4 linked regions of the Lonchura striata genome follow. The protein of the gene in region 2 interacts with the protein of the main gene of each other region in a pairwise test. Links are inferred from orthologs where the notes say so. Each region holds a gene or a part of one and is shown on either strand. Other genes may lie near its edges. The genes, in order: SPTBN1, CDC5L, SFR1 and SH3BP5.

Region 1 (7,558 bases), about 82 Mb from region 2:
ATTCATGTTCATTAGAAAAACAAATTCACAGCAGATCATTTTAAGAGTAATAATAAAAGGCTGACAAACTGAAAACACATGTGGGTGGGGGGGAAAAGAATCCAGCAGTGGGGGAAGCAAGCTCCAAACCAGGCTCTGCAGGACATGGATCCCAATGGACCACACTCCCCTTAGTGTGGAGCTGCAGCTCCAACACTTGCTCCTCCACACAAGTGGTATCTGGTCAGAACAACATGAGATGGTTTCTCAGGTTTAAAGCAAGACAAGGCAACTGGATTTTCACATTTCACACCTCTAGGCCAGATTCCTGCTGGTTTCACTTGGGAAAACTGCCATGAGCCTCAGCAGAGGTAAGGGTCCAACGTGCTGGCAAACTCCCCAGCTCCATCAGCTGTGAACAGGAGCAGCCCACAGCAGGAGCTGGTCCACTAGGAAAGCCCATGGCTCCTACCATGGAGCACAGGCCTGCTCTCATCAGGAGTTTCCAGGCACCGCAAGAAAGAGCCTACACTGCTCTCCTGCACAACCTCAGCTGAGCCAGAGAGATCTGAGGGCAGCTAGTGGCTCCTTGCCCTGAGAGGTCACCTCTCTGGTCCCTGGGGCTCCAATACTTCCAGAGGTATTCCTAGACCCTAGGGAAAGGGCTATCAGGAAGCCTGTAGCCACAGACACCAGCCTGGGCAGGATTTAGTAGCTGACTCATGGTTAATGGGCAATGATAAACTGTTGTGCTGTTTGTTCACTTGTACCCAGATAAGATGACTAAGGAATTTAGGTGACTATAGAGATTAACAGTCTAAATAACTTTTGCAGTCTGACCCTTAAACATCTGCATAAACAGACTTTCTCCTCTGCGTTCCATGAAAGATGTCCATGCACTCCTTGCTAATGAAATACAATTATTTTGCAGGCAATCCAACTACAAATATTTCATCCTGTAACTGACCCACATGAAAAATAAATCCTTAATCAGGTGACGTAATGCAAACGAGCAATCCAGGCCCATCCAATAAAGGGGGTATTTAGCTGATTCCATTTTATAGATGATGAAGGAAAAAGAAAACATCTTTCATTAAATTGTTTGTATTCCTCCTCTCCAGGGGCTGTTGGAGCAGCACACAGCAGTACCCTGGTCTCCATATATGCAGCAAGAGGGTTTTGCCCCTCTCTGCCCCACTCCTGTGTGCAGGCAGGGCTCAGTAACACACAGCAATTCCAAAAGCTGCAGGATCTGTGCCACCACAGAGATGAAACAGCATCTCTAACGCTTTTTGCCACATGCCTGCTGCAAGTTCCTATTTATCCCAAAATGCTGCATCCTGCTTTAGTGAGTGTCATTTGCTGCACTTAACCTGCATTACAGAAAAACCCAAAGTGGGTTCTGTTCCAGAAGAACCTCCCGATTCCACATTCATCATTCTCCCTTATGTTCCTGCTTGAAGTAACAAAATATTCCCTATTTTCTTGCCTCTTCAGCACTAGTTGTGGCACATGAGCCAGCCCCTCATCCTTCCTCACATCCCTACAACCACTGCTATGTCATGGAGGCATCAGTACAGCCATTTCTGTTCTCCCCAGAAACACAGAGGGGAAAAAATAAAGAAATGCCAAAGGATAAGAACAATTCTTTAAATAGCACATCTGCTGCCATCACCCACCTTCCCAGCCCCTTATCCCGTTCCATTTGCACTCCCGTCTCTCCCTCCAGAGCCTTCTCAGCATATGCAAGTCCTTCCTCCAGCGGAGCTTTCCTGCAATGGCCTGAGGAGTCACAGCCTCCCCTGACATTTCCACACGGCTGCTATCTCTGGGAATAAATTCCTCTCCCTGCCCTGCCTCTCTAACCCCGGCTCCGGGGAGCATTGTTCCCCAAGATGCCTGTCAGCACGGTGCTGGGCTGCGGGAATTCCAGCCCTTTTCCCAAACTGTTCAATAATCAGGTTTCATAATGCTGGTATCCTGTCAATAAAGGTTGAAGGATGAGCCAAACGCTCCGGATCTTGACAGTTTGTGTTTATTCCCTCTCCTTGCAATCCTGATCTTGAACATTTAGCATTTATATCTATGGACAATGCAGAGCACAACGCAGAAACACAGATCACTACTCACCTTTAAACAAAAATGCTATTTCATTCACGATCAAGACATCAACATCGCAAATTCAATGCTCACTCTAGTTCTGTATCATCACTCCAAAAGGAAAAACATCAGCCACTGAATGAAACGTCAGCCTCGGTTGCCATGAACAAGGGTTTTTCAGAGCTGCTGCAGTCTCACAGTCTATAGCACAAGTCTGCCATATTTTTTTTGTTATATCAGGCCTATACCCACCTAACAGCCAGAGCCAGCCCCGAGACAACCAAACCAAGCCCACACATTGTGCCGCTAACTGCGGGCACCGCGGCACCCGCGGCAGCGGGCGATGGCCGCGCCCGGACCGCAGCCCCGCACCCGGAGCTCGGCGGGGTCAGCGCGGCGCTCCCGCACACAAAGCCCCGCAGCGGGCCCGGCTGACAGCGCGCCGCGACCCCCGCGCCGCCCCCCGCGCCCCGCCCCGACGAAGAAAAATAAAGGAGGAATTACATCCGTCTAGCAAGGAATACCGCAGGAGCAGCAGTCGAGCCGGGCTCTCCGCACCGCACCGCGCGGGGCGTGCGGCTGCGCGGCGGAGGAGGCACCGCGGGCGGGGAAGGGGAGGGAGGGAAAGGGGCGGCGGCCGCCGCTGCCCCCAGGGACGGGCCGGGGCCGCCGCAGGGTAGGGTAGGGTAGGGTAGGGTAGGGAAGGGTAGGGTAGGGCGGGGCGGCTCTGACTGCGCCGAGCCCGCTCCGCGCCGATCGGGGCTGCGGAGGCTGCGGGCGCCGCCCGCGCTGCGCACACGCACCCGGGAAGAGGGGCCGCCCCCCAGCCCCGCTCCCGGCCCTACCTCGGCGCTGCCCCGGCGGCGGCTCCGCGCTGTGCGGAGGGACCGGCGGTACCGCAGCCCCGCGCGGCGCTGCGTGAGCTCTGCGTGCCCCGCGCGGTGCGGAGCGGGGGGCGGGGACGGCGCGGGAGGAGCCCCCGCCCCGCGCTCCTGCCCTGCGGCGGCCCTGCGGCGCCTGGGGCTCGGCACGGCCCCAGCCCGCACCGCATCCTCACCTGCTAATGCTGCTGCTGGGCCTGCCCTGTGCTCACGCCGGGTCTTCCCCCTCCGCCGGCCCTCGCTCGCAGCCCTCCGTGGGTTTTATCCAGCCACTCCCGGCTCCCCTTCCCTTCTCTTACATTTATTTCGTTATTGGGTCTCTCCAGCCTCCTTGCTCCTCCTCCTCTGACACTCTCTCCTGTCACAAAGACAGTATTGGCTCGCCCCCAGCATCCATTTGCTCTAGTGTTGCTCTCCCTCCCGCTGCTCTGTCATTCCTAGTGGAAACCCCATCCCGGGTTTGACTTCCTCCACTGCAGTCATCCTCTCCTGCTGCTCCAGTCCTGCCACCTTCCCACGTAAACAGCCTCTCTTTGCCAGTGCAACCCAACCCCTGGGACCTAGGTCCAGCTGCCTTTGTGCCACACTTTCCCTCTTTTCCTGGGTAGTATTTTGCCTGTCTTTCCAAAGAAAACTGCTGTCCCACAGCCAATGCACCTTTCCTCCTTCCCCCTCTTCCACAGCCAAGGTCAGAGGCAGACACTGCTTCTTCAGGTGTCCTTTGCTAATCCTGGCCTCCCTGCTTGCCTCCCTGTCCTCACCCTCCTCATGCCCATGCTCCTTCCCTCCTGTCCACTCTCCCTCACCTCTCACTTTCAATGCAGCTATGGATCAATGCTATCCATGTCTTTTATTTAAAAAAAAAAAAAATAAACCATGCTTGGATTCATTTGGATTCTTGCTTATCATTCCTTTTTCTCCTACTCTTCATCCCCACACTCACTGCTATTTTACTGCTGTCTAGAGTTCCTCTCCTCTGCATATCTTAAACTCCCTCTCATCTAGGTTCTTGCCCCTTCACATTCAGCTGCTTTGCCAAAATTTCCAATATCCACTTCCTGGCATAATCTCTGGAATACTGCTTCATTTCCAGCCTGTCAAAATTATCAGCCTGGCTCTTTTGAATATTTTGTTTTCCTTTGGTTTCCAAGGCTGCCCTGCCAGAGCTACCTCCTTACAGCTCCTGCAGTGCATCCTCCTCCCAGTTTCCAGTGAGATGCCAATAAACTTGGGCCTCTGGTATTCAGAAAGTCTCTTTAAAATATTCTGTCACCATGAAGCTGACAAGATTCTTGATAAGATCTAAGAACATACTTTCATACTTGTCACTTGTGCTGGTTCATATCCAGACCTTGGGGATGCAGTAAAAATGTGTGTATATAGATACAAATTTTTAAAAATATATTCAAATGCTAGGATGTTAAGAAATATCCTAAAAAATCACCCTTCCCTCAATTATTAATACCCATCAAGCAAATTGGAAGGGACAAAAGCCTGCAATGTCTGGGAGTGAGCAAGAGCATGCAGTGTATTTTAGGATTCGCTAGCCCCCATAGCTCAAAGATGGGTGGGCCATGGATTCCCATGGAAATAACTGGGTAGGAATGAATGCCTGGAGAAGCAAGAACCAGAATAGCAGGGGGCACTGTGGGTTCCAACCAGTTATCCCAGTTACTGACAGACATTTTCTCCTTTTTAAAGTAATGAACAGGGCAGATACAAGTGTTTTGCTGCTGATAGTTCACAGCAGCATTCCCAGGTTTGACATGAGAGGATGCTAATTTAATTTTAAAAACTACTGCACCTATTTGTTTGTGTTTTCAGCATGAACCTTCTACTTGCAGAGTTAGAAAGCCAAAGCCTACAGCCTGGCAAAAATTCAGCAGGGAATGTTCACAAAGGTAAACTAGTAGCACGTCCTAATGTCAGTAACTAAAGGCAGTCAGACAAACAGGTTGTTCCCACTGACGTTCACATTCCCTCTCCTTTAATCAAAGTGAAAGGACTGGAATGAATGGCCACGACAGAAACTGTTGTTAAATGAAGTGGAAAGGGGCAGCAACAATGTTGGGCAAAGTCACTCCCCTTCAGCCCTGCTACTTTGTAGTTAGTTTGGCTCTGAAGCTCAAGGCTTTTTCCCTCACATATTTTGCCCAGGCAAACACATTTCTTCACAGATGAAGCAATATTTAAGTTGTTTTTCTTTTTTCCTTTAAAAATCTACCAATGCACCACACTCAATATTGTTTGATGCTCATCCCACAGAAATAGGTCCATGTGCATATTGACACCTTCACCAAGGGGAAAACACTGCACAGGTAATCATATTTCAACCTCTCTGAAAGATAATTTAAAAATAAATCCTAGTTTAAATAACATAATGCATAATTCAAAATAAAATGAATCAAAATTGGAAACATAGAATTGTTTAGGTTGGAAAAATCTTCTAAGATCCTTGAGTCCTACCATTAACACAGCACTGCCAAGGCCACCACTAAACCATGTTGCCAGGGTCTACATTTGAATTTGTAAAAGGGTACTTCCAAGCAGATACAAAAGCAGCACATCTAGATGAGATATTAAGAGCCACAATTGTTAAGGCAATACTAAAACTCAAAAAAAAAAAAAAATACTGAAGGATGGTGTCAATTTCCAAGAACACAATAAAAATGCATACCAAGAAATTCACATTGTAATAAAAAACTCCCTCACTGTTCCATTAGACTGGAAAAGCCTCCTGTTATCAGACCGTTCCAGTCCCACAGGTTCCCAGCGTGACTGAGATCCATTCCCCCCACCATACACACCTTTCCTCCACCTGTAACTGCTGGCTGCAGACACACAGTGGGGCTCCAAGGCACAAATCCAGACTGGAGCTTTGTCTCGTGGCAGACTTGGCCAAGCTCTTGAGAGGAAAATCAAAGATGGGCAAGATTATGCTCAGAGGAAAAACTCAGCTCTCTGTGTGTAGCATGTCTGGAAGCAGGATGGCTGCTCTTCACAAACATTTCCTCACAGAACCCTATTTCCCCTCAGCACCTTGGTTGCACTCAGCTCAGGGTTACACCCTTAACTTCAGAAACACGTTGCAGCAATGCATTCCCCAGAATGGATTTGCTGGGATATTCCTGTTCCCCAACAGCCACTGGAAATATAAATGTGTCTGACCCTCAATCCTTAGCTTGCCTTTTCTCTATGACCAGCTCAGAAGGCTGACCTGCCCAAAATTCTGCATCAGGGAATAAACACTCATCCAGGTATCCCCATGCAGTAGCCACAGGGAAATGTGTGTGATACAGGAAGGGGCTCTACTGGGAGAAACAAAGAGCAGGGACATGCAGAGCATTTGTAACTCAACTCTCAGGCTGCACATCAGAGGTCTGGTAATACTCTTTTGTTGAGAATGTCTTATTTTTCTAAGTGCTCCCCAACTCTCTGTGGCTACCCTGTCCCCAGAGCGTCCATTCTCAGCCGTTTTCTCTCCACCATCAGCTCCCGTGAGCTCCAGGCCTATTTCTTCATGTGCCCAACATCCCCAACCCTGGAAAATGACTCAACCACAGGGCACTTACAAAAGTTTGGCCTTGGCCTCAGCCAGCTGCTGTCTCCTTCCCCCGCCACCGGAGTCAGCAGTGGAAATGCTGACAGTGTGAAGACAAGATGGCTTTCCTGCTCTCCCTGCCAGCATCACAGCAATCTCCAGTGGCCAAGAGGAGTCCTGGCAGGAATCCCTGTGGAAGGACAGGAAGCATTAGTGAGAGTTGGCAGGGGCCTTGGGGCCAGCATACCACAACATCCCCTACAGACCTTCCCATTGTGTTCAAGGCAGTACATTAAAAAATGTAATAAATGTCTTGGGACCTGCTCTTGTGTCCTGTGGGCTCCACACAGAAGAAATCAAATCACAGAGGATGTCTACAACTGCACAGGAAGTTTCTTGGCCTTTCAAAGCCCCTTTTGTGGTGCAGTAGTTTGAGGCTCAATGCCATAAAGGTGTTGGTGCAGCAATGTTTCCCCACCCAAAGAGAACTGGAGAGGAAATTTGACCAAAATCCTCAGCATTTATCTGTCCCATAAAAACCTGCATAAAACTATGCAAAAAACTTTGCCCCTTGTTGCCAAATATTATTCTCTTTCCTTCTGTTTTACCAGTTTTACTCCTCCATTTCCTCCAGATCCATCAGAAATTCACCTAATTAGAAATTTAATGGTTTTAATATGAAAGATAATAGTTTTATATTAGATATTAGGGAGAAATTCTGTGAAGGTGGTGAGGCCCTGGCAGAGGTTGCCCAGAGAAACTGTGGCCGCTTCATCCCTGGAAATGTCCAAGGCCAGGTTGGACAGGGCTTGAAGCAACCTGGGATAGTGGAAGATGTCCCTGCCATGGCAGAGGATGGAAGTGGATGGGTTTTAAGGTCATTTCCAACCAAAACCATTCTATGATTCTATGAAAAATACACATCAGCCCATGTAATTTGACAAAACACAGTTGTCGGGTGCAGCCGATCCATTAACTACTACAGGAAAAAACAGTTAAATTCTTAGCCCTCTCCCAGATTTTATTAATTTTCCTGACAACCTTACTTTTTCTACAG
Region 2 (7,564 bases):
AGTGGTTGGTAATGGATGCATCCAGCATTTTGGTCAAGAGAGTGAAACTTGGGGTACTGGTTTGCTGCAGGTGTTTGTGGGAACATCAATTCTAGCACAGGCTGTGCTGGAGATCTTGGAGACACTTTTTCATCCCTGAGTAACTGCTTCAGTAGAGGTCAGTTATTTTGGCCAGTGTTCATTTTTGTTTAAGGAGTTATTCTGCACCACTTATTTTCTTGTAAAAATTTAGTAAGAAAAACTCTTTACTAACTGAAAGAATGTGTAACGGGAGGGAAGGAAAAACATATTTTGTAGTAATAACTTTTCATGTGAAAACTATTGGTGTATCTGGAGGCTAAATGCTACCTCCCATCTGCTGAAAGTTGCCTCCTTTACTCCCAGGTGATTTTGCAATACTTGTAAGAGGAAAAAAATAGTATCTCTCCAAATTACAGAAACAAAATATGCATGTCCTCACTGGGTAATTGTGACATTAAAATGTTTTACATGTATCTGTATGTATAAGATGCTTATTAAGCTGTTGTCTGTAATTTTGATAATTTTTTGAGTAATCTGGCAGAAATGGTAATGTCCAGAAACATCTATTTTATGATACTGGGAATCTTTAAATCTTCAATTTTATTTGAATGTCCAATGTTAATCTAGTATGAAATGCCTTACCTTTTCTCAGGTTGGTAGTTACTGTGTTGGTTGTTATTGTTAAATTATATGCTTTTCAAATAACTTCAGTTAGCAGTTGCTGTTTAGTTTCATTAAAAACCTTAGCAGTATCTGAAACTAAAATTATTTTAAGAACTTTACTCTTAGTCTAAAATACCGTGTATAAGAGCTAGTACACTACACAGCAGGTGGTCCAGTGTATGGTGAACCCAGATGGATGCTGCTTCCAATTTATATTCAAATCTAGACAAATCTTTGTTTGTTTTGGAGTTACCCAGTGCTAGGAACTCTTGAGTGTGGTTAAGTGCTTTTATTAACAGTGTGTTATCCCCTTGTGTGAGGAAATAAAACAGCAAAGGCCTGGTGCAAACTGTCCCAATGCTACAGCTCAGTCCATGGAGCAGCAGAACAAACCTGTGGTTTAATTTAGAGAGAATGTAAGTATGGGATTCAGTGCCTTTTTTTTTTTTTTCTGCTTCTGGATGTGTGTCTTTCTGTAGAAATACAGATAATATCTTGTAGAGGCTTTCTGGTATCATAGGAGACAGGTTGGGAAGGGCTGTCCAGAGATGCAGTGGAGTTCCCTTCTTGTCAGATACTGAAAAGCCATCTGGATGTAATCCTGGACAGCCAGCTCTGGGTGTCCGGGATTACAGAATTCTGTAGTAGAATGTGTGTATATTTCCATGCATGTCTATACATACATTGATAAACTTAGGAATTGGCATAAAAACTCAAGCTTCACAACTTGTAAAGGTTGAAAATCTGGTGGTGTTATTGCATTATGGGGATCATTCCCCTTCAAAAGACACGTGTGCCCTTGAGAATTCTCAATCCCTTTTTATTCTTCTTTACTAGTATACATATGCATAGTTTCACCATAGGTTTATGTATATTCATTCTACTGATTTTGCATTACTCTTGCAGCTAGTTACCCTTGCAGCTTTTTTTTTAATCAGAAAGTACAGAAAGAACTCTTGGGTGAGTCTGCCTTGTCTGTTTCAAAGTTCGAGGAGCCTCTCTTATCTCTTCAGTTGGAAATTCGCATTCTTTCTCCTCAGCTGGGGCAGTTTTTACTAGTGCTGCAGAGCTACCAGACTAAACAGCATATTTTACTTATGCTAGCAAGCTACTAATAATTTCAAGTGGCACATTTTACCCGAATCCAAATGGATTTCTAGCATGTTAAATTTTTTCTCTATTTCACTTATATATTCTGAATTGCAAATATCTGTCAAGCATACTAAATATTGTAAATGAGAACAGCTACAGCATTCTTTCCAAATACATGAATAACCCTTGTAGCATAATATCTGTGAATCTTGCCTGTGTGTTAGGCTTCTCCTGTAGATTAATTTCCTGAATAGGGCATCTTCTAGGGTCTTGTCTTCCAGAACCCGTCCAGCCATTCTGCAATTTGGAAGGCAATTTTCCAATAATGAAACTCATGGACAGATTTATTTAAGGCCATATCAGCAAAGATGTTCAAGTGATCCAGTTCTTTGCAGCTTCAGTAAAGTCAGACAAGTATCTGTGCTTGAACCATGGTGGTTACAGATAAGTGATTTAGACCTTGGAGCCACCTAATCCAGTTGTGAGAAAGAATGTTATCCTGTATTAAGAAAGAAAAGCATTTCTAGGAAATCTTAATGATTACTCAAACTTGGAGATGTTTTTACATGTGTTACATTACAATTCTGATCATTTATTTGAAAAGAGCAGTACAAAGAGAAAACAAAAATACTGAAGGAATTGTAAGCCTCTATATCAGATGAGACTAGAAGGGCTAAATACGATTGAACACTGTTGAAAAGCATAGTGTACAATGATGATCAAAAGAGCCTGGTTTAGGTGGATAACTGCAGTAAATTTTTGAAAGAGTTTGTAAATCTGAGTTACTTCGTTTTAAGTAATAACAAGAAGGTATTTTTAGTTAAGAGATTGATCTTATAAAAGTTAATTATTCCCAGTCACTGCCTCTAATAAAAATAAGCACTTCAATGACTCCTGATGTTGCTTTCTGTTCCTTATGTGCTGCATTGGATTTTTGGGGTTTCAAAGGTATTCTCAGTCTGCTAAGTCAATGAAATTTACAGGTTGAGGCATATTCAGTTGCAAAGAAGACATGGGCTGTTGTTGGTAGTTTTTTTTGGTTTGGGTTTTTTTTTTTTTTTTTTTTGGTAGCTAGAAGTGTAGTATTTTTTATTCCTGCAGTTTAAACAAAAATCAAAGCCTTTCCTAAATCACAAGTTTTCTATTTAAACCAAAAAAGTTTCATAATTTGCTCCATTAATATATCCTGAATTTGGACAAAACAGGGAAATATAACAAGACAAATTGAGTAAAAGGCTGTCATTTTACCTGCTGTGCATCTGCTAATTAAATGAATACAAGTTAAACTGGAGGTGATGTAAATGAACAATAGTGAGTCAGATCTGTATGGTGTGGTGGTGCATCCTCCTGTTTGGGCCACACTGTGGTCTCAGAAATGCTCGTTAGGGCTTGACCTTGACAAGCTGAGCCGAGCTCCTCTTGAGCTTATCCAAAACACTGTCTGCTCCCAGGAACTTGTGTCAGCTGAAGTGCTCCGTGGGTTTTAAGAGCCTTTGGGAACTTATTTTTCTTATCCAAATAACCACCCAGGTGGAACAACGTTTTTGGTTTTGAACTTTCAGAGAAAGTTACCAATCTGAGTTGCAGCCAGGGTGGAAAATTGCTATGAGCAAAGTCAAGTCTGTTGTGACTCTCTAAGCAGTGGTATTTGAGAGCCTCTGAGCCCTCCAGACTGCAGCAGGCTGGGAGCAGCACCTCCCTCTGAGTGTGGCTTTCTCTGAGCCACACAGCTCCAGGCTGGAGATGCCTGGAGGGCCACAGCTGAGGGACAGTGACAGATCCTGAGCCGAGATCCCTACTCCTTGAGACTCAACCCTTCACCTGCTGAGAGTGACATGAGTACCTCACTATGAAAATTCCCCAAATTCAGGTATGTACCTTGTATACATTTCCTTTAGTGTGTATGTGAGTGTTAACATGCAAATGCACCATCAATGTTGCTCTCTTGTAGAATCATAGAATAGTTTTGCATCGCCACCTTAAAGATTATCTCATTCTACCCCTTGCCATGGGCATGGACAACTTCCACGATCCCAGGCTGCTCCAAGCCCTGTCCAACCTGGCCTTGAACACCACCAGGGATGGGGCAGCCACAGCTTCTCTGGGCAGCCTTTGCCAAGGCCTCACCACCCTCACAACCAAGAAGTTATTAATTTCAGGAAAAAGCATGGGTCTATTTCCTGAAATTAATAAAATACCTTGGGAACGCTGGGGAAATGTGATTTCCTTCCACTGTCCCTTTCCTCCCTCACCTGCGTCCCTTGACGAGGCAATTTGAAGAGTTTAATGACGGCCGGGCTCCTCCGCCGTGTGCTCCTCCGGCCGGCAGGGGGCGCTAGCGCGAAGGGCCGCCTCGGGCCACGCGGGGGCTGCGCATGCGCGGCGCGGCCGGACCCGCTTCCCTGGAGGAGTAGCGGCCTCACTTCCATTGCAAAATCCGCCAGTCCCGCTTCCCTGGGAAAGCCGCCCGACCCGCTCCCCGCTTTTCTGACAGAGCAGCTTTTTTGACAGCTGGCCTCGCTTCCCTCGCCCTCGGCACCCGCCGCCGCTGAGGGCGACCGTGCGCCGTCTCGGCCGGCCCCGCTGACGCCAGTGGCGCTTCCGCTCCCTCTCCATTCTCTCGCTCCAGGGGTCCGTCCCCGCCTCCATTCGCCGCCAAGATGCCGCGGATTATGATTAAAGGCGGCGTGTGGCGGAACACCGAGGTGAGACTCGGCGGGGTTCGAGCCCTCGTCCCCCTCAGGGCCGGGCAGGTGGGGGGGGGACCCTCGCTGGTGCGCAGGCGCGGGAGGGGCGGGTGTCGTGGTGCGCCTGCGCGGGGGCTCAGTGTTGGGGGTGCCGCGGTGGGGTCGGGGCTGTGCAGCGCTGTGCCCGGACATCAGCGGGTCTGGGCTCGGCAGGGGCCAGCGCAGGGAAGGGAACGGAGCACAGGGCTCACGAGGAACAGCTGAGGGAGCTGGACGGACTCAGCCTGCAGAAAAGGAGGCTCAGAGATGGATCTTCTGCCTCTCCACCACTCCCCGACAGGAGGGCGCAGCGGGATGGGGGTCAGGCTCTGCTCCCAGGCAACAGGACAAGAGGACATGGCCTCAAAGTGCACCAGGAGAGGTTTAGGTTGGACGTTAGGAAGAATTCTTCACAGGAAAGGGTGATTGAGTATTGGAATGAGCTGCCCAGGGAGCTGATGGAGTCACTGTCTCTGAAGGTTAAGTTCTTCCAGTTTAAGGAAAGACTGGATGTGGCACTGAGTGCTGTGGTCTCGTTGACATGGTGGTGATAAGATGTTGATTAAGCTCAGTGATCTGAGAGGCCTTTTCCAACCTAACCGATTCTGTGATCCCTGGCTCTCTGTTGGGCTGCATTCCCCAGTAACCTGTGCCTTGTTCCTGCTGCTTCAGTGGGCAAAGGTCACGAGTTCACATTGGTGCTGTTTTTCCCTCGGGCTGTTCACCAGATTGGGAAGCTCAGCAATGTGTGTGTTGTGTCCTTATGCCCCAGAGAACTGTTCCCACTGCTACTGGAGAGGAAGCAGGGGCTGTGCAGTGCTTGGAGATGTCCCGCTCGCAGGCTAGAGTGTGACTTGTGCTGCATAGGCACGTTCCTTGTGCTCTGTGGGAATGAAGCAGCAGGAATCTCTTGCCCTTAAAGATATTTAAAAATACGAAAATGGCAAAGGCAGAGTCATACAAGTTTTAGGATTGGAAAAAGCTTAAGAACACCAAGTGGCCACCATCAACCCAGCACCACCACCATGTACACCATTTAACCTGTCCTTAAATGCTACATCTACATGGGTTTTTAATCAGTTCCAGGAATGGTGACTCCAGTATTGCCCTGAGCAGCCTGTCACCATTTCCATGGGAAGAAAAAAAACATCCTAATAACTAATCTAAACCCCTGGTGCAGCTTCAGTCTGTTTCTTGTCAATGTGTGTGGGCTCTTCATCTGCAGCCCCAGGAATCCTGTGCACAGAAATTACTGTTCCAAAAAAGAACAATCCCCTCCAATTTTGCTGTCACAAGCTTTCAGAACCACAAGTGGTCATGAAAAAGAAATCAATAACATGGGAAATCAAGGATGTCAGTTTTATTAGATGCATGTTTAAAGCAAAAGGATGTACCTAGCACTGTAAAATACAGAATTCTCACTGCATAGTGTGAGCACCAGGCATGTACGTGGTTCCAGGAAGCAGTGAGGAAAAAGTAATAGAAGATAAAATGTGCTGTATGTGCTTTTAAACACCTGTGCTATATCAGTGATGTGCCAGGAAGCAGCTAAATTTGGGATCAGCAGAGGACAGGAAAATTCATATCTTCACCCCATTCTTCCATACTTGATACATTTTGGTGAGGAGTGGTGCATTAAATGGAATCACAGAATATCCTGGGTGGGAAGGGACCCACGAGGACCATCAAGTCTGGCTCCTGCACACAACATCCCCAGCAATCCCACCCTGTGCCTGAGAGCATTGTCCAAATGCTGCTTGAACTCTGCCAGGCTTAAGGCTGTGGCTACTGCCCTGAGGAGCTGTTTCAGTGGCCAAATAGATCCTCAGTTCACCAGGCTTTGTGTACCAGAGATAAAAGAGGTGTTGGATTTTTTTTTTAACATTTTGATTATACATACAGCATTAAAGACAGAGAAAGGGAAATCAGGTGATACCAAATCATTCATAAAATGACCCATTACATGCAAAAAAAGCCTGTTAATGTCACCAGTACAGCTCCTGTGTGCCATAGAGCACCAAGTAAGTTTAAAAAAAAAACACACAGGAGAGGATTTATTATTTATGTCAGAACAGTAGTCACATGAATTGTTGCCTGCAGCAGCTCAAGCCAGATCAAGAGCTGATCATAAGCGCACAGTTAAAGCTGTTGTTCTCTGGGTGGTGTCAGTGGAGATAGTGTGAGACTCACTGAACATTCACTGGGTACAGGAGAGGGACATCTGTGGTTGACAGGGCTGTAAGAACAGCTTTCATGTATTTAAAATACCACTTCCTCTGAATAAACCAGAAATAATGAACCCATCTATCAAGGAAGGGAGAGAAGGATTGATGGATGGATGGACCGAGAATTGGCACTTCTGGCTTGTGATCAAACTCAGTGCACATTTTGTTGTATATGAACAACCTGGCTCCCAAGCCGATCTATTCCATTTTTATTCCAATTGCATTAAAATATGAAAAATAGATAATTTTATGGTATTGTTTAAACAAGGCAGCCAGAGATGCCTGCCAATTCTACTTTTTTTTTCGTATTGTGATGTCTTACCAAACACTTCCTTACCTCTGTTGCTGTCCTTCAGTGAAGACATACAGAGCCTTTAAACACCAGTGCATTAGAGAGCATTGAAAATAATAATTTGGGAAATTCTGTTAGGTATATGAAGTTTGGAACAATAATTTATGTGTCTATTTTATTTAATTTTACAGATTTCATTGACCTTTGAAATACAAATCCTTATTTTTCTTGAGAATAAAATGGAACAGAAGTAGCAGTGTTACGCTGTGTTATGCTGCTTCCTCTGGGACAGCCCATGAAATTTACCATGTTCTCCTTTGCTTGAGCTCAGACTTTCTGTTTTGCAGTTCATAAGGGTATTTATTTATGGTTTTTTCAAGGATGAAATTCTGAAAGCAGCTGTTATGAAATATGGCAAAAACCAGTGGTCTCGAATTGCCTCATTATTGCACAGGAAATCAGCAAAGCAGTGCAAAGCCAGATGGTAAGTGAGAGGTGCTGTGCATGGGAATATGACCTTCATAATTAGTGGAAATTTAGGAAAA
Region 3 (7,598 bases), on a different chromosome or scaffold from region 2:
CTGTACTGGCCTCTGGCAAGCACCCTGTGTCAGCACCAGCAATGTCTTTAGTGTCTTTTTCTTCAATGTCTATTTTGAGCCGCTTTGCCACTGTAAAATTGGCATTAAATGAACGTCTTGTTTTCCTTAATCGTTCCCTCAGAGCTGCACTCATTTGCTGAAAAAATAATAAATAAACCCAGAAAAGCCAGGTGGTCAGAATATTCTTAAATTTTTATCAAATCTCAAATCACCGTTTACCAATCATTATTATTTACATAGAATATGTAATATATTTAACGATCATTGTAAAGCCAGACTTCCTAATTGTCTGTATAGCCTTCAAAAACTTGAACAAATTTAACATCTTCCTTTCACTTGTATTTGCACACACAGCTGCAAGATACGGAAAGGTGTAGCTCCACATTTTCTTGGACAAAATCTTGTATTCTGTTGAGGCAAACTTACTCATCTAGTGTTTGTGTAAAAGAAATACAGCATATTTCAACTTGGATAATTTTATTCTACCAATTTCCCCTCTAGTTTAATGGAGGTAAGGGTTACTTTCCTGCTGTTCCATCCCATTCATCTGCATTAGAACTAGTACAAAACATCTGTATTCTAGAACATATTAGAAATACCTGTATAATTTTGACCTGTTCATGCTTTGAGATACTTTACAAGCATCTAAAAACATTTTTTTTTCTTCAAAATAACTATTTTTTTTATAATCTGTGTCTAACATTTTTATTTATAGAAATGCACTAAAATACAAGAGGGGGGAATTAGTTACAGAATACTCTCAAACCAAGCCTGCAGTATCACCATTTCGCATCCCAGGATAAGACCAAAGCAGAGCTCAGCACTATGGATAATACACAAACTGAAAGCATTGTACTTTGTTCCACTGCAGGCAGAAGTCACAGAAAGTCATCCTGCATGCACAGCAACCCAGAAAACCAGGATTTGAGAAAACCGATGACAGATCCATCACACACCCTATATAGTATTTAAATTTCTTAACAGGCCATCACTTGCTCCATCACTTTGTACACACAGCAAGCATCTGCATTTTCAGAGCAAAGTACACCAGGCACATTATTACCTGCACAGCCTTGTAGCTAGAGGTATAAGGTGCCTGTCTCTAGCCTTCCAGCAAGCAGCATCTCAGTGACTTCTGACTCCTCGATGATTTCACCAGCATTTTGTTACTATGAACAATCACATTATTGGAAAAGTAGGAAGTTTTCATACCTGTTTCCCTGAACTAGTGCCCTGTGCAGGTGCTGGCCCAGAATCCTTTGGAGTATTGCACAAAGATGGCAATTTATCCAGCACTGACTCTTCCATCTCGAGATAAATAGCTGTCTCTGTTAAATGACAGAATGAATTATGGTGTCATTGTCACCTGTTATAATGAGCCATGTGGCTGCAGAAATTAGTAAAAAGCTCTAATATGAAATTTTAAGGCTTCTTTTCTAATTGGCATGTTCAAAAAGGACATCTGCTAAGTTACACAACTGTTTCATGTGCTAAGTAGCATCTTGCTTTGTGAACAGCTTTTCTTTGAGAGGATCCATGACACAACTAACTGCCATGAAGTCATTCACAATCCATTGTATATATTATTCTTCCCCTTGCTCCAAAAGCTCTGTGGAGCCAGAAGGATTTTTGTTGTCCACAAATATAAACAATCTTTTCTATAGAACAATATAATTGGGTATCCAGTCTCATGTGATCCTTCTGGGGATCCTGCTTTAAAAAGTAATTACTCACACAGGTGGAAGTTTTGATTAACAGGAAAAATCCCAAGCTCACTCAGAAAGGTGCCTTAATTAAAATGGTTAAGTCACACCTCCCAGCACGAACCAACTTCAAATCGATTTGGCAATGTTTAATTTCATTTAGCAATTGTGAACCACCTACTAATGACCAGAATGCAGCTGGAAAATCAACAGTTATACCTCCACTCACCTGCAAATTGCAATTACCAGTTTTGAAACAGAAGCCTCTCAAGAATAAAATCCTGCGAATTACAACTAGGCAACACAGGGCTGGCACAAGGGGCTTCCTCCTCACAGATGAAAACTGCTAAAGCTTCAGAATGCCAAAGCCTTAATAGCCCAGCAACCCTGGGCTTGATACCAAAGGATGGAGGGCCTCATTTATCTTAGAAGTCAACATTCCCCCCAGATGTTCAAAACTGAACATATGGTACTCTATTATAAAAACCCAGACCTTAGTAAGGAGTCTAGTTAATTTGGTATTTTAGCAATCTATCAATTAAACAGGAAACCACAGCATCCATTAAATATAATGGAAGTTTAATACTATTATTTCTTTTTGTAAGGAAGAGCCTAGAAAAAGCAACATTCTTATGTATACTGTATATCAAAGATATAGTATATATATATCAAAGATAGTATATATAGTATATATATATATATCAAAGATACTATATATAGTATATATATATGAAAGATAGTAAGAATTTTCCAAGGAGCAAAATAATTTTAAGCCTAAGAGATAACTTTAAAAACCCCAAGCAATCCTATGATTCTCTGCCTTTACTTTCTAATGCAAATTCGCTTTTAAATGACCATAACAAATACTTTCTCCAGTCGTTTGCTAATGCTGTTACTTGGCAGCATATTCACAGATCTCCTGCACGCTTAAAATCCTTTTCCTGTATCTTCGGCTAAGAATCCTTGGCATTCTCAACCAGTAATGCTGTTCACCGCACAAAAAACTGTGTCCAGCAAGCAAAGAAAATTTGAATTAGAAGGGGAAAAAACAATTTTACTTTTCAGTACTTACTTGACTTTTGCACTTTGGGTACGTCTGTAACTACGTCCTTTGTTTTCCTGCTTATAGCTACGTTATATAAAGGCACGTACTCTTTTTACTGTCTCAATAACAAAAGGCTCAATACTTTTAAACACTCTATTAACACAATACTATTAACACTCAAACTTTTGCCTTGCTACTTTTCCCCCCGCAGAGAAGCAGGACGAAGACCGTGCAGCCCATAAGCAGGGCCACAGACCCGTGGAGCTGGTTCTGAGGCGCGGCACCCCAAAATCGCCGCCACAGCAGCGGCCCTCGGGGCTGAGGAGCGCAGGGAGGCCCCTCGGGGAGCACAGAGCCCTCAGGACCGGGCGGAGGAGGAAGGACGGGGCGGAGGAGGAAGGACGGGGCGGAGCGGCGCTTCTGCCCGCTGTGCCCGCTCTGCCCCCTCAGCTCCCGCGCCGGGCAGGGGCGGCCGCGCCTGCGCGCCCCGCGTGCCCGGGCGGCGCTTGGGGCTGAGGGGCGGGCGCGGAGCCTGAGGGAGGTCCCGCTCCCGCTCCCGGGAAACGCGAGGCGTCTCCGAGGACCTCGTAGACTTTCCTGTTGCATCTAGGCATGCCAGGCGGTGCTGTGTCCCTTAGGCCAGCGTGGGCCGGCCACGCCATGGCTGGGGTCTGGATCAAGGCCTGGTGTCACCTCACAGAATCAGGCTGGAAAGTTCTTTAAGATCGTCGAATCCAGCCTATGACCCGGCGCCACTATGTCAGCTAGACCCTGGCATCAAGTGCTGTGTTCAGTCTTATGCATTTCCAGGGGTGGTGACTTCAGGATCTACGTGTGCAGTCTGATCCAATTCTAATCACAATTCCTATGCGGAAATTTTTCGTAGTGACCAACCTAAACCTTCCCTGGCCTAGCTGCCAGGGATAAGAAACGATAAGAAATGTCCCTGCAAGTGTCCTGTGCCAGGGAGGGCGGTCGGTCTGCCTCAGTGTGCAGTGCTCCCCACTACGGATAGCACAGCACAGCCAAGGGAGCCACAACTCTCCACCTCGAGCTGCAAAAGCCTTTATCCCAGAAACCATCTCCTCACATAAGGGGAAAAAGTGTAACTGAAGGACTCACTGGGAGACGTGTGACCTGAGCAGCACTGTCATGGTTGTGGGAAAGAAGAGAAAATTAAGACATTTGACTGGAGAAATAGGGAGATTGTGACTGTACAAGGAGCAATCCCAGCTGTGGCTGCACGGTGCAGTTCAGGATTGGAGAGTTCCCTTACACTCAAAGGCACTGCTGAAGAGTGGTTTTCCTGTTGCTGTCAGCTGTACACCTGGCTTCCCCATGTGGATTTACTTCTCTCAAAACTGATTTGTACAAAACGTTTTTCAGCTGTAACTGTCAGAACTGACAGAATGAGCTGAGGAAGCCATAACAACAACAGCTCCCAGCCCTTAGGGATGATGTCCCAGTGGTTCCTCCAGCACTGCCCAGAGCTGAACTGCCCCGAGCTGTGCATTGATGCCTCACGCAGCTGTGCTGAGAGCAGCACGTGGGGTACAGGCACCCACATGCTCTCGCTGGATCATGCCCTTAGCTTCTGTGTCAGAACTGCATTAATTTCCTGCCTGGTTCCTGCTACAGATAAGGACACTATTTTCTCTTCACCTTGTGTAACTCCCATCTCTATTGAGACCAGAGACAATTTGGAGGTAAGAGATGCGTAAGCACTGAGTGTTGTAGGTGTGATAACGTGTTAGCAGTTGCTGCAGTTTTGACCATGAATTTTCATAGATCCACACACTTCAAAGAGTATTTGACAGGAATGATAGCAACCTTTTACTCTCCTACAGTAAAAGGTATCAAAGCATTCAAAGCCCATCTACAAGTTGTTTTTGGAAATCTGACAACTTGTATAAGTTATACAACTTATATAACTTATACACCTTGTATAAGATTTTATCTGTGGGTGAAATTGATTCAGAAATAATATTTTCATAGCAAATGTGGGAATTTACATTATGTGGTGTTGTACTATGTTTTGTAACCATCTACCAAAAAAACCCTGCTGAACAATACCCCAAGTGTTGAGGCAGTTTGAAAGCATTTTTTAAATCTGCCCCTTTTTTGGGTTTTGAGGTTTGTTTTTTTTTTAAATCTTCAGCTAATTTAATGTTGCAGATATTTTAATTTTTAAATATGTTAAAAATGGACTCCTGAGTGCAACAGCAAAAGTGCTACAAATTTATCAAGAGGGTTGGATGCTCTGGAGCTTTGTGATGGCATGTCTCCAAGACCACAGGGTATTTCCTTCAATCTCAAGGATGGTCCCTACTTTAAATTACTCATGCTCTGTTGTACAGACATGCTAACAGATGAGTTGCACAAGAACAACAGAAAGCTTGAGATTTTAGATCATTTGCCAGGTGAGATTCCAGTAAGATTTTACATGAACATAACACATGAAAAAGTCATCCTGTGCATTATCATTGTACTTAATTAGAGCAACGCCAGTATGCCCCACCCCAAGTGAGATTACAGATTGTTTGGGACTGGGAATTTGGAACAATGGTGCCATGTGTTGGGTGTGTGAGTTTAGTGTGCTGCATCTAGAGTAGAGGAAAGGAAATATTGTCATGTACTCATTGATGGGCAATGACTCTAGAAAAAGATCTTGTTCAGGTTAGTGTTGTTTAGCTGTGTTTACTCCATTTTCCTATGAATTTACCTGGTGTTTACACAGTACTGCAAAAACATGACTCGCCCAGCACTTGGCTGGAGCTCCTGCAGAGCTGGGAACTAGAGTGCCATCAAGCACTATGCAGTGACTATCCAATATGTTTATTGCAGAAACACAATAGTGATGGATATTATGTTTTCTACAACTGGCAAACCAGAGTCAGACTGAAAACTTCCTCTCAAAAACTGCTCATCTGTTTTCCTTGAGGAAAACAGATTATCCATGTGTCATTGATCCTGGCATGTTTATGGCACACTGCAGAGTGTTTCTCTTGCTGTTAAGTTAAGATTACCAGTATGTGCACACAGTAGCACATTCATTGCAATAGTGTTTATTAAGCACTGCAATGCTGTTGTTTGATTTCTTTGCTTCCTCTTGTGATCAGAAGAGTTTGGGGTAAGCAAAATAATTGAAAAAAATGTGTAAGAAACTGTGCACTGGGTAATAAAATTATTGATCTCTATTTGCTGAACATACCACTTCCCTTCAAAGATATTAGTTTCCCCGAGGAACCAAAATGTGTTCCTTGATTCTATTTTCTTTGGCATTTCTGCATTGACATTTTAGTTATCAGATTATTTTTTCTTCTAAGTGTACACCAGTTTGGCTACACAGTGAAAGATATTATCCATGTACCCTCTCAATAATCTTGTGGTACCAGAACAGCACTGGAGCACTGGGGCTGACACAGCAGTGTTCTCAGGACAATTACATGTTTTAATTCCTCTGTGGGCATCATCTGTAGTAGCAAAGTCATAATGGAAAGTAATAAAAAAGGATACTGGCTCTGAGTTTAGAAACTCCAGTTTAAGCTTTATGGGTTCTTGTCTTCCAGAGTGTCAGGAGCATCATAAAACTTCCATTTAACAGTTTGCTGGGCACAACAACCAGGCCTTTTCCCCCTAAACATTGCCACTGAGTATCTGGGATGTTAGTCAGCATACTGTTTTAAGGCATATATGTATTACCCCCTTCTCTCATTTTTCTGAAATCTGTTGACCTCGTTTAAAGCCAAGCGATGTATCCTGATGCATGAAGTACACTCTGCAATGTCTGAGTATTCTCTCTTGCCTGGGGCACGAGGGTGGGGTGCTTTTATGTGCCTAAACACTAACTGCTGCAGAAAGTTTAAAAACCCTACCCACTTCTGCATCAGCCTAGGGCTGTGATTTGGCTGTCTGCAATTCACTTCTCTGAAAGGTGTTCTGACTTGCTAATGGCCGTGTAAATACACCAAGGGTAGGACTTTATAAACCAGCTGGAGTAAAACCAGTTTACTACAACAAAACCTGTCCTTGGGAGATGGATTCTGCTCTGATAATGGTGCAAGTGCCCAGTAACTAAAAGTGAAGTCTCTAGAATGACATCAGGATAAACTACACCAAAAGTAATTTTTTTTTTTTTTGCCTTTGTCTGCTTTATATCTCTGGCTTGCAATTTTTGAGGTAGCTGTCTTGAAAATAAAACCTTCCGGGATTTATTGTAGCTGAGGGGCACTGCAATTTGCCATTACAAAAGATAATGTAAGAGCCAGGTGAGATGAGCAGTGTAGTTCTCACTGCTGCATGTGTGAATAACCAAGGGGGTGAGGCACGGTGCTAATAAAAGGGGTTGGCATACAATTGCCTCTTATTTCTGTGTCTGTGGGATTTTCTCTAACATAACAAGTCAAAGATTACAGTATAAAGTCTTTATGAGACTGTAGCAGATAAAGGAAACATAAACAGACCTTCAATGTTCTTGTCTATGCTGGAGAACTGGTTATTATTTTAAGAAAATTGAAGCCTTTTAAATCTAAGCCCTTGCCCAAACTAGTCCCTGGTACAGCTTTTGCCATCTCTGATGGCCTGAGTATATTTTCCTGTTAAAAGTATTTGAATTGTAGCAGAGCTTGAAGAGTTGTTTCATTTTCTCACATACTTGCTATCAGGTGCTGTATGCACATAACTCTTTGGTTGCTCACATTTATCTGTACTGCTGGAATTGGTGAAGCCGAAAAAGTGAGTGTGGATTTTTGCAAGTGCAGACAAGCTGGTTTTAGCAGCTACCTATAGTTTGGAGGCCTTGGTGGGACCCAGTGGATTAAACTGGTGTA
Region 4 (7,984 bases), on a different chromosome or scaffold from region 2:
AAGTGGAGATAAGAAACAAGCTACAAGACATAGCATGTACAAAGACCATAACCCCATTTTCTGTTCAGTGCTTTCAATGGATACTCCAGTATTTTAAAATTCTACCAAGAACCACACCATGCTTGAGCAAAAAAAAAAAAAACAACCAAAAAACCAAAGAATCAAACAAACCATATTTTGACATTTTGAAGGTACAGACAGAAATCTATAGGTGCACTTTTATAGTATGTTCCTCACTGCAATCTCAGAATGTTTCAATACAGTATTCAAAACTTTGCAATATCAAAATTATTTAGGATGTCAAGTCATATTTTATGCCAGTCTTTTTAAGCACATATTCATCTTGTACTTGCACTGGCTTTATCTTCTTTTTTTTTCAAATAAAATAAAATTTAGATGTACACATAGGATAGTTCGTTTTGCTTCAGTATTAGATCAATAATGTTGAGCCTTCCAACATAATTACCAAGATGAAGCTCAAATTTAGGGATTTAGAAACAATTTCTTCAGAACTTGCTATTAGATTTATAAGTATTCCCGAAAACCTCTCTGTATAACCAGGAAGTCTTTTATTCCAACTTTCCTTCACCACCTTCCTTGCTCAGGAAGTGATGACAAAAAAGGCAAAGATAACAATCTAAAAAAACCCCAAAGAGAAGATCCTATCAGATAGTTGTATGGCAAAAACCTCTTAACCAAATAACTTTCCCTGTCTATAATCAACAAACACAAAACAGCGACTTGTAAAAATAAAACTTCTCTAAGCTTAGTGTCAAAACCTAAAAATAAGTTCTGGCAGTGGCTGTGTGAGAGGTTCTCCACACAGGGTTTTTACACTGTCAGCATACCTCTACCTTTTCAGCTGTTAGGTCAATTAATATCTTTAAAAACATCATCACCAGACTCTTGCTGTGAAATTACCATTCAGGATGCACAAATTCAGAAGGCAACCTACACAAAAACACTGTCCTTCTGTTCACAAAATCCAGCATGCACAAAAGGTAAATGTAAGGATAAATTCTGTACCTCCAGCTCCGTCTCTCTGCGATTGATATCATCTGTAGATTGATTCAGTTTTTCTAGCTCCCCCTAGAAGGAAAGAAAGTCAGATGCATAGTAAGAAATCAAGTGAAAAAACACGTCTGAGAAGGCTCATTCAGCATCCCCACAGAAAGCTCACAAGAGCTTTGGGTAATGAATTTAGCGAAAAGAGGAAACCTTGAGATGTTCAGCTTAACTTTGCCAGTGGTCTTCTCCTTTGCTACTTAAAAGAAAAAATAATCAGAGAAGGTCTATAGCTTTATGTTAAGGCGACACATTTCCTATTCTGGCTACTTCTTTTCTATTACAAATAAATACAAAGTACAGTATTCTGTCTCATTAATCAATATAGCCAGTATCAGTGAGGTACTGGGGAGACAGACACACCCACGCTGAAAGATTAGCATAAAGTTTGTACTATCACAGGAGACACCCAGTGAAAGGACAGAACTGATAAGAAACACATCTTGGCGCATGAGAGGCATTTTATTTTGGATTTTGGCAAACCATTTATTAACCCAACCAGTCCAGGGGATGTACAATTATGTTCACATAATTTGCCTTCCTGCCAACATTTTGATCCCATAACAGCAGAAACAAAGGTGTTAAATACCTTGAATAAATATGTAGCAGAAGTGCTGCTGGCATGAATGAAGTTAGTGTAAAAATAAAGCTCATTCTTACTGTCTTTCTTATCTCAAAAAGCAACCCTTAGGAGGAGACCTGATAGCTTTCTTTATCTGAGCAACATGTTCCTTCATGTGAGATTATAAGATTTTTAACAGGAATGTTCTCCAATTGAAACATTATTTAATTGTCAACTGGTGTAACAGAACACGCCATTAAATGTTTTGCTGTACAAACCGAACGCTGTAAATTGATTGTCACTTGAGCAGTTTCCCACTAGACTACAAGAATTACTCCAGTTACAACCAGAAAGGAATTAATTACAACAGTTTAGCTCTCTTAGCCTCAGCGGTCAGATTTCGTTTCCTTACTCCTAGGACTTGGAAAACACCTATTTGGGTGTCCATGTTGTCTGAAACAAACACCCATCCAAAAATTGCCTAATTGTCTCTTACTGTAAGGCTCTAAACCTCATGGCTCTGCGGAAGCAGGCACAGCAGCCTGTTTTTCAAACCAAACAGAAAACTGAACAAAAACAATTGTTTTGCCAACAATTCACAAATCGTATATGTGGAAACGTGTTGCAAGCTGAAGAAACTAAGGCCGAAATTAGATCAATAGATACCAACCAAGCTCAGCCTCATAAAATCAGGGCAGTACCAGGCTAGCTTTTGGCTGAGGGCCTCGCTCTGTGTAACCATGTTTTGAGAATTTTGCAATGGCTCTGCACAGCCCTGGAAAACAAAATGCTCACGATGGAGAAAAGAATGACAATTACAGCGCGCGGGGACCTGCGCCAAGGATCCTCTCAGCAATGTACACACGTGTTATATTCATTCATGACAAACAGGACCAGCAATGCTGGAGGCAAAAACCATAAATCTGCAGAGTCCTAAAAATACATTTCATTTCAGGAACCACAGCGTGCTTCAAGTTTGCACCACACTATTGGTCGAGACACGATTTTGGGGAGAAAAGCTTTGTTTAGAAACCATGCAAGAATAAAAAGCATTGCAGAAGGCATTCACCTAGAAGAAGCACCATATTCCACTAAAGCTCCTTCTTACGAGACATAAAAAAAATAATGACAAAAATAATGAAATAAAATTTTAAAACCTATATTTTCCCGCATTTACGAATTTCTAAGCACCAGCCGCGCTCCACGAGCAAGGTCACGCTGTCATGGTCAAAACTAAAAAGGGGAGGGGGGGTGGATTTCAGCAGGAGGAGGAGAAGGAGGGACGCCCAACAGAGCCCGGAGCGATGCCCGGGGTAACAAAGGGCTGGGGCGCTCCGGGGGCGCTTCCCCCGCTCCCGGCGGGCACAGAGACACCCGGGGCTACTCCGGGAGAAAAAAAAAAAATTTATATATATATATATATATATATATATATATATATATATATACACACACACACACACATCTATATATATATATATATATATATATATATATATATATACACACACACACATATATATATATATATGCATGTTTGTATGTATATATGTGTGTGTATATATATATATATGTATATATATATATATATACACACACATGTATATATGTATGTATGCATGCGTGCACATACGCAGCAAAACCAATGAAATAAAAGACACAACCATTGTTACACACAGCCATAACACACACATTGAAACGAACTTTAAGAAACGCAGCCGCCCCTCGGCGGCAGGCCCTCACCTGGATGCGGGGGTCCACCTCCTCGTCGTCGGGCCGCGCCGGCTCCTCGGCGGGGCGGCCCCGGCGGCCGCCCGGCTCCATGGCGGCCCCGCTGCCGCCGGCGCCGCCGCTGCCGGGCCCGGCTCCGCCGCCCGGCCCCGCCTCCGGGGAACCCCTCCCTCCCCACAGCGCCCCCGTCTCTTTGTGCCTTCGCAGCGCAGCGAGGGAAACGGCGAAATTGCGGGGTTTCGTTTTTTTCCCCCCCGCTTCTTTTTCTTTCTTTTTTTTTTTCTTTAACCCTCCCTCACGCCCCGTTTTTCTGGCGTGCTAATTCCTGGTCCCCCCCGCAGCGGCGCTGCGTGAAACCAGGATGAGTAGTTCCAGGTGCAGGGAAACGCTAAGGACACCTTGCTGGCTTTTTTTAATTTATTTTTTCCTCCCCTTCTTTCCTTCTTTCCTCTTTTTCAAGCTCTGCTGGAGGCTGACATGCCCATGGAGAGGAAAAAAAAATGTATAAAGCGAGAAAGGGAGAAAAAAAAAATTACTAAAGGCACTTCCAACAACCTTGAAAATTCAAATGCAACCCAGATTTCTACAGTGTGGCAGCTAAGCGGGCAACTATTGTACCTGCTGCATGCAGAAGAAAAAGACATACTGAAAACACATCCCTTTGTTGTCAGTAAAAAGGAACTTCGAACAAGAACTATGTACATGCATGGCCCATGTCTAGCAGAGTTCTTCAGATTAGTGCCTGCCTAATCACAGGGGTGGATAACAAGTAATTTTGAACAGATGAGGAATATATTTCCACCTTTAAAGTAACATTATTAATTTAGCCTCATGTTTTTGTTTGAAAAATCCTCCAAAGGTAATAAAAAATGGAAAATTTAGATGTGGTGAAGAAAGAAGCTTCCTTTGTGAGACTAAAGGTGAAAAAGAATCTCATATCTCTTTACAAGATAAAAATAAGGAGCTAAAATAAGAAGATAAAAATTAACATTGCTAAGGTAACTAAGGTTAAAAGGGAGGCAAAACTAAAGCAGTCAAGCTCTTCCAAATGCTATAAAGCAACCGAGGGGATAAAAAACAAAATATGGGAAGAGAGTGACATAAACATTTGAAAATGGTATAAACATGCAAAGTGACACCAACAAACTAAAATAATCAAGGAACAGAGGAGGTGTTGCAAAAACGCAGATGGGTTGTTTGCAACATCTTCACTGCTCACAGCAGAAAAAATCATGTAAAGGGAGGGAAAAAAATAAAAACAAACCAAAAACCAAATTAGCCAAAGCCAAGTGTTTACTCTTACTGCTGTCTTTTAGGGGATTCTGATGTGTACATACAGCCAGATGTTCCCAGGGCCCTGGCATTTCTCTTCCCTGGTGTGCTCATGCCAAGACTGTAGACTATAGACTGGTCAAATAGTCAACACTCCCATCATCAGCACAGAAAACACAAAGCTGCACATGGAAGACTTAATGTGGATAGTCCTGCTGTTGCCCCTTTGTTTTCTAAAAAACAAGACTATGTAAAAAATTCACTGCAGCTATGCCCTGTTCCTCCAAATCCTGCACAGGCTTACCCATGGTGATGTCACAAAAGGCACTGCCCACCGCTTGGGATACAGAAGTGCTCCTGCACACACATGCTCTCCCAAAGATATTTGTTATGTTTGCACAAAGGACCCTCTTCTTCCATTACCACTGTAACAATCCCTGTGATTGTTGCAGCTCGAAAACCTCCAGCCAAACTCATCAATCTGCTACCATCAAGGCAGAGCAAGCTGTCTCTCTCCTTAGCTGCACAGTGGATTTAGAAAGCTGGGAGAGCTGCCTGCAGAGCTTAGCACTGTGCAAGAGATGGTGTGTATACACAAGCCCCTTTTCCCATGAATCTGAAATCTCTCACAGAGCCCTGAGGACATTGAGATCATTTTATATCAAGCCAGTATGCTGGGAAGATCTGGATATAATAAAATCAGTGAAAAATGCACATCTGTCATTACTGCAGACATCATTAAGGCATTAACAGAAAAGTGGCCTGAGGAAAAGATTTGACGGAACAGGGAAATGGGAGACTATTCAGTACAAAAAAGATCAATAAAAGACTCAAGGCTATTATTTACATGTTCATTTTCTTCTCTTAGCCACAGAATGGTTTTTGCTGAAACTGCTGTCCCATGCAAAGGGCAGCAGGACTTGAGAAATACCCGAGGAACAAACTTACATATCACATAGGCAGGCCTCACACACGGGCATGCTCTACACAGGATTGTTGGTGACACCAAGCTGTGTGGTGTGATTGACAGGTTGGAGGGAGGGGACCTCATCTAGAGGGACCTTGACAGATGTGAGAGGTGGGTCTGGGCCAACCTCTGAAAGTTAACAAGGCCAAGTGCAAGCTGCTGCACCTGGGTTGGGGCATCCTAAGCAAAAACACAGGCTCGTTGGAGAAAGTACTGAGAGCAGCCCTGAAGAGAAGGACATGAGAGTGTTGGTTGACAAGAAGCTCAACGTGACTGAGGAATGTGTGCTGCAACCCTAGAAAGCCAACCACATCCTGGGCTGCATCAAGAGAAGCACAAGCAGCAGGTGAGGGAGGTGATTCTCCTGCTCTGATCCACTCTGGTGAGAGCCCACCTGGAATGGCATATCAGATGAAGTTCTTTACTGTGGGGCAAGTGAGGCACTGGCACTGGTTGACCAGAGAAGTTATGGATGCCCCATCCCTGGCAGTGTTCAAGGCCAAGCTGGATGGGGCTTTGAGCAAACCTGGTCTAATGGAAGCCATTGTTGCCCATGACAGAGGGATCGAGCTAATCTAGATCTTTCAGGTCCCTTCCAGCCCAAACCATTCTGTGGTTCTATGCCCCGCTTAGGTCAGTCCTGTGCAAGAAGTGAACTGCAGTAGATGGCATTTGGGTATTATTTTTGCCAAATCATGAGTGATCTCATCCCAGCAAATCCCTCCTACACAATCTGTTAAAGGCCAGACTGCTCCCCAGCCCCACCCCAGCCAAGAAAGCCAGTCATGCTGACCTTTTCCTTCCCCCACAGGCCCTGCGTGCGCCAAGGCATCTGAGCAAAGCTTGCACGAGGCCTGACCAAGACAGTCTGTACTTTCTCCTGTATCAATATTTCAAAACCCTAGTCCCAAGTATTCAATATTTGAACAAAGCACTCTGAAGTCAAGGCAGGAAGAAACCGCTTGCTCTTTCACTAATGGGATTCCAGAGTGGCCACAGCAGAGAATTAGTCCAGACTTGTCAGGCTGGGCTGCAACTTAACATGAGCTATGCTGCAAAGGATAAAGCTCATCTAAAAAGCACAAGGAGAGGTTCTGATGCAGGAAAAGCCATGATCCAAGCTGCTTCAGCAACTAATTTAAATGTACCAGGCAACACCTCTGCCTTGTGGCATTACGGTAGGTTTTTAGGGTGGAAACTTTACCGTTAACATCATGCCCTGGACAGAAATCCCTAGGCAAGGGTGATGTTCTGGCTGAGAGAACTGCTACAACTCTGCTTTTGGGGGAAGCTGCTACATAATCACGTTATCTGGTCCCACAGAAATCCTCAGTGTACAGGCAAGGGAAAGATTTGGCAAGAGAAAGATTGAAATGCTTTGAGGAAGGAATACAGGGAAGAATTCTCTTCCTCATTCTGGAAGATGGCTTGTAGATTCGGTATTACATTACTGAATAGCCATTGGGGAACTAGAACTTGCATTTTAAGTAAAATCAGCTGGGAAGAAGAATGCATCAGTGAAGAATCGCCTGAGGAAACATCCTAATGACTACAGTTAATTTAAGGATAAAATTCAAAGGGAATGGAGAGTGTAATTTTACATATATTTGATAATGCTAGGTTCTGAATGGATTTTAAGGAAGATTTTTTTTTCAAAATCTCATCTTACATTCAAATTTCTGCTCATACTTGCCCTCAAGGCTTGCTTCTGCCCCAGCACTAGAGGCAAGAGCCTAAAATACAAATCAAAAGTTGTATTTCCTTCCTCATAAACATGTAACTTGTCTTTCTGAACATAGATAGCAAATAAGCAGAGTTCAGGACTAATTAATGCATATTTGATTACTGAAAACACATTTCAGCTCATGGAAATGTTCAAGGAGAAAACAGCCTAAGAGACAGAACCCTGCTTACAGAATACTGCCCCTCTCCTCACGGGGACTGGAGAAACAGTTCTGCTCTGAAAAGTTCTTCTGCTTCTATTGATGATGGTGCTAGAGGCTAACTTTCAAATGGTTTCAAATGTTGAAGTGCTGTTGCAATTCACTTTTAAATAATTTACCAACAAATGAACACAGAAGTATAAACAGTCCAATTCTGAGAAGTAACACAGTCCCCAAAATACATTTATGAGCATAAAATCTGTTGCGTAGCTTCTTAGCTGAATTAACCCTGAAGACCAGTTTACTACACTGACTTTTGCAATGTTACACCAGAAATTAGCTTAACTCAGGGAATGTCTCAGTTAAACACAGAGCCACCACCTCTATCTTCCAAACTGCAGCAAAGACATTGCTCTGCCAGTGTTCAAATCTGGTATACTTTCCTGGTTTTCAGAAGTCTACTGCACATGTTGGAAACATTTATAAACATTAAGTGGGATCTCA

Evidence for each region.
Region 1: the proteins of CDC5L (region 2) and SPTBN1 interact in binary tests that used the Homo sapiens proteins (3 or more experiments, as listed by UniProt). The link is inferred for Lonchura striata from reciprocal best matches to the Homo sapiens genes CDC5L and SPTBN1.
Region 3: the proteins of CDC5L (region 2) and SFR1 interact in a two-hybrid assay, tested with the Homo sapiens proteins (2 studies listed by BioGRID and IntAct). The link is inferred for Lonchura striata from reciprocal best matches to the Homo sapiens genes CDC5L and SFR1.
Region 4: the proteins of CDC5L (region 2) and SH3BP5 interact in a two-hybrid assay, tested with the Homo sapiens proteins (2 studies listed by BioGRID and IntAct). The link is inferred for Lonchura striata from reciprocal best matches to the Homo sapiens genes CDC5L and SH3BP5.

Annotation. Positions count from the first base shown.
Region 1 is NC_134605.1:27,475,626-27,483,183, forward strand, and holds the start of SPTBN1 (spectrin beta chain, non-erythrocytic 1), read right to left. Parts: upstream 3,436-7,558; 5' UTR 3,260-3,435; intron 3,254-3,259; exon of another isoform or gene 3,137-3,253; intron 3,051-3,136; exon of another isoform or gene 2,925-3,050; intron 2,712-2,924; exon of another isoform or gene 2,584-2,711; intron 2,386-2,583; exon of another isoform or gene 2,110-2,385; intron 1-2,109. UniProt on the Homo sapiens protein: Fodrin, which seems to be involved in secretion, interacts with calmodulin in a calcium-dependent manner and is thus candidate for the calcium-dependent movement of the cytoskeleton at the membrane.
Region 2 is NC_134605.1:109,085,814-109,093,377, reverse strand, and holds the start of CDC5L (cell division cycle 5-like protein), read left to right. Parts: upstream 1-4,143; 5' UTR 4,144-4,436; coding exon 4,437-4,481; intron 4,482-7,399; coding exon 7,400-7,503; intron 7,504-7,564.
Region 3 is NC_134609.1:21,115,593-21,123,190, reverse strand, and holds the start of SFR1 (swi5-dependent recombination DNA repair protein 1 homolog), read right to left. Parts: upstream 3,155-7,598; 5' UTR 2,797-3,154; intron 1,350-2,796; 5' UTR 1,330-1,349; coding exon 1,234-1,329; intron 158-1,233; coding exon 1-157. UniProt on the Homo sapiens protein: Component of the SWI5-SFR1 complex, a complex required for double-strand break repair via homologous recombination. Acts as a transcriptional modulator for ESR1.
Region 4 is NC_134603.1:114,406,634-114,414,617, forward strand, and holds the start of SH3BP5 (SH3 domain-binding protein 5), read right to left. Parts: upstream 3,468-7,984; 5' UTR 3,452-3,467; coding exon 3,371-3,451; intron 1,090-3,370; coding exon 1,027-1,089; intron 1-1,026. UniProt on the Homo sapiens protein: Functions as a guanine nucleotide exchange factor (GEF) with specificity for RAB11A and RAB25. Inhibits the auto- and transphosphorylation activity of BTK. Plays a negative regulatory role in BTK-related cytoplasmic signaling in B-cells.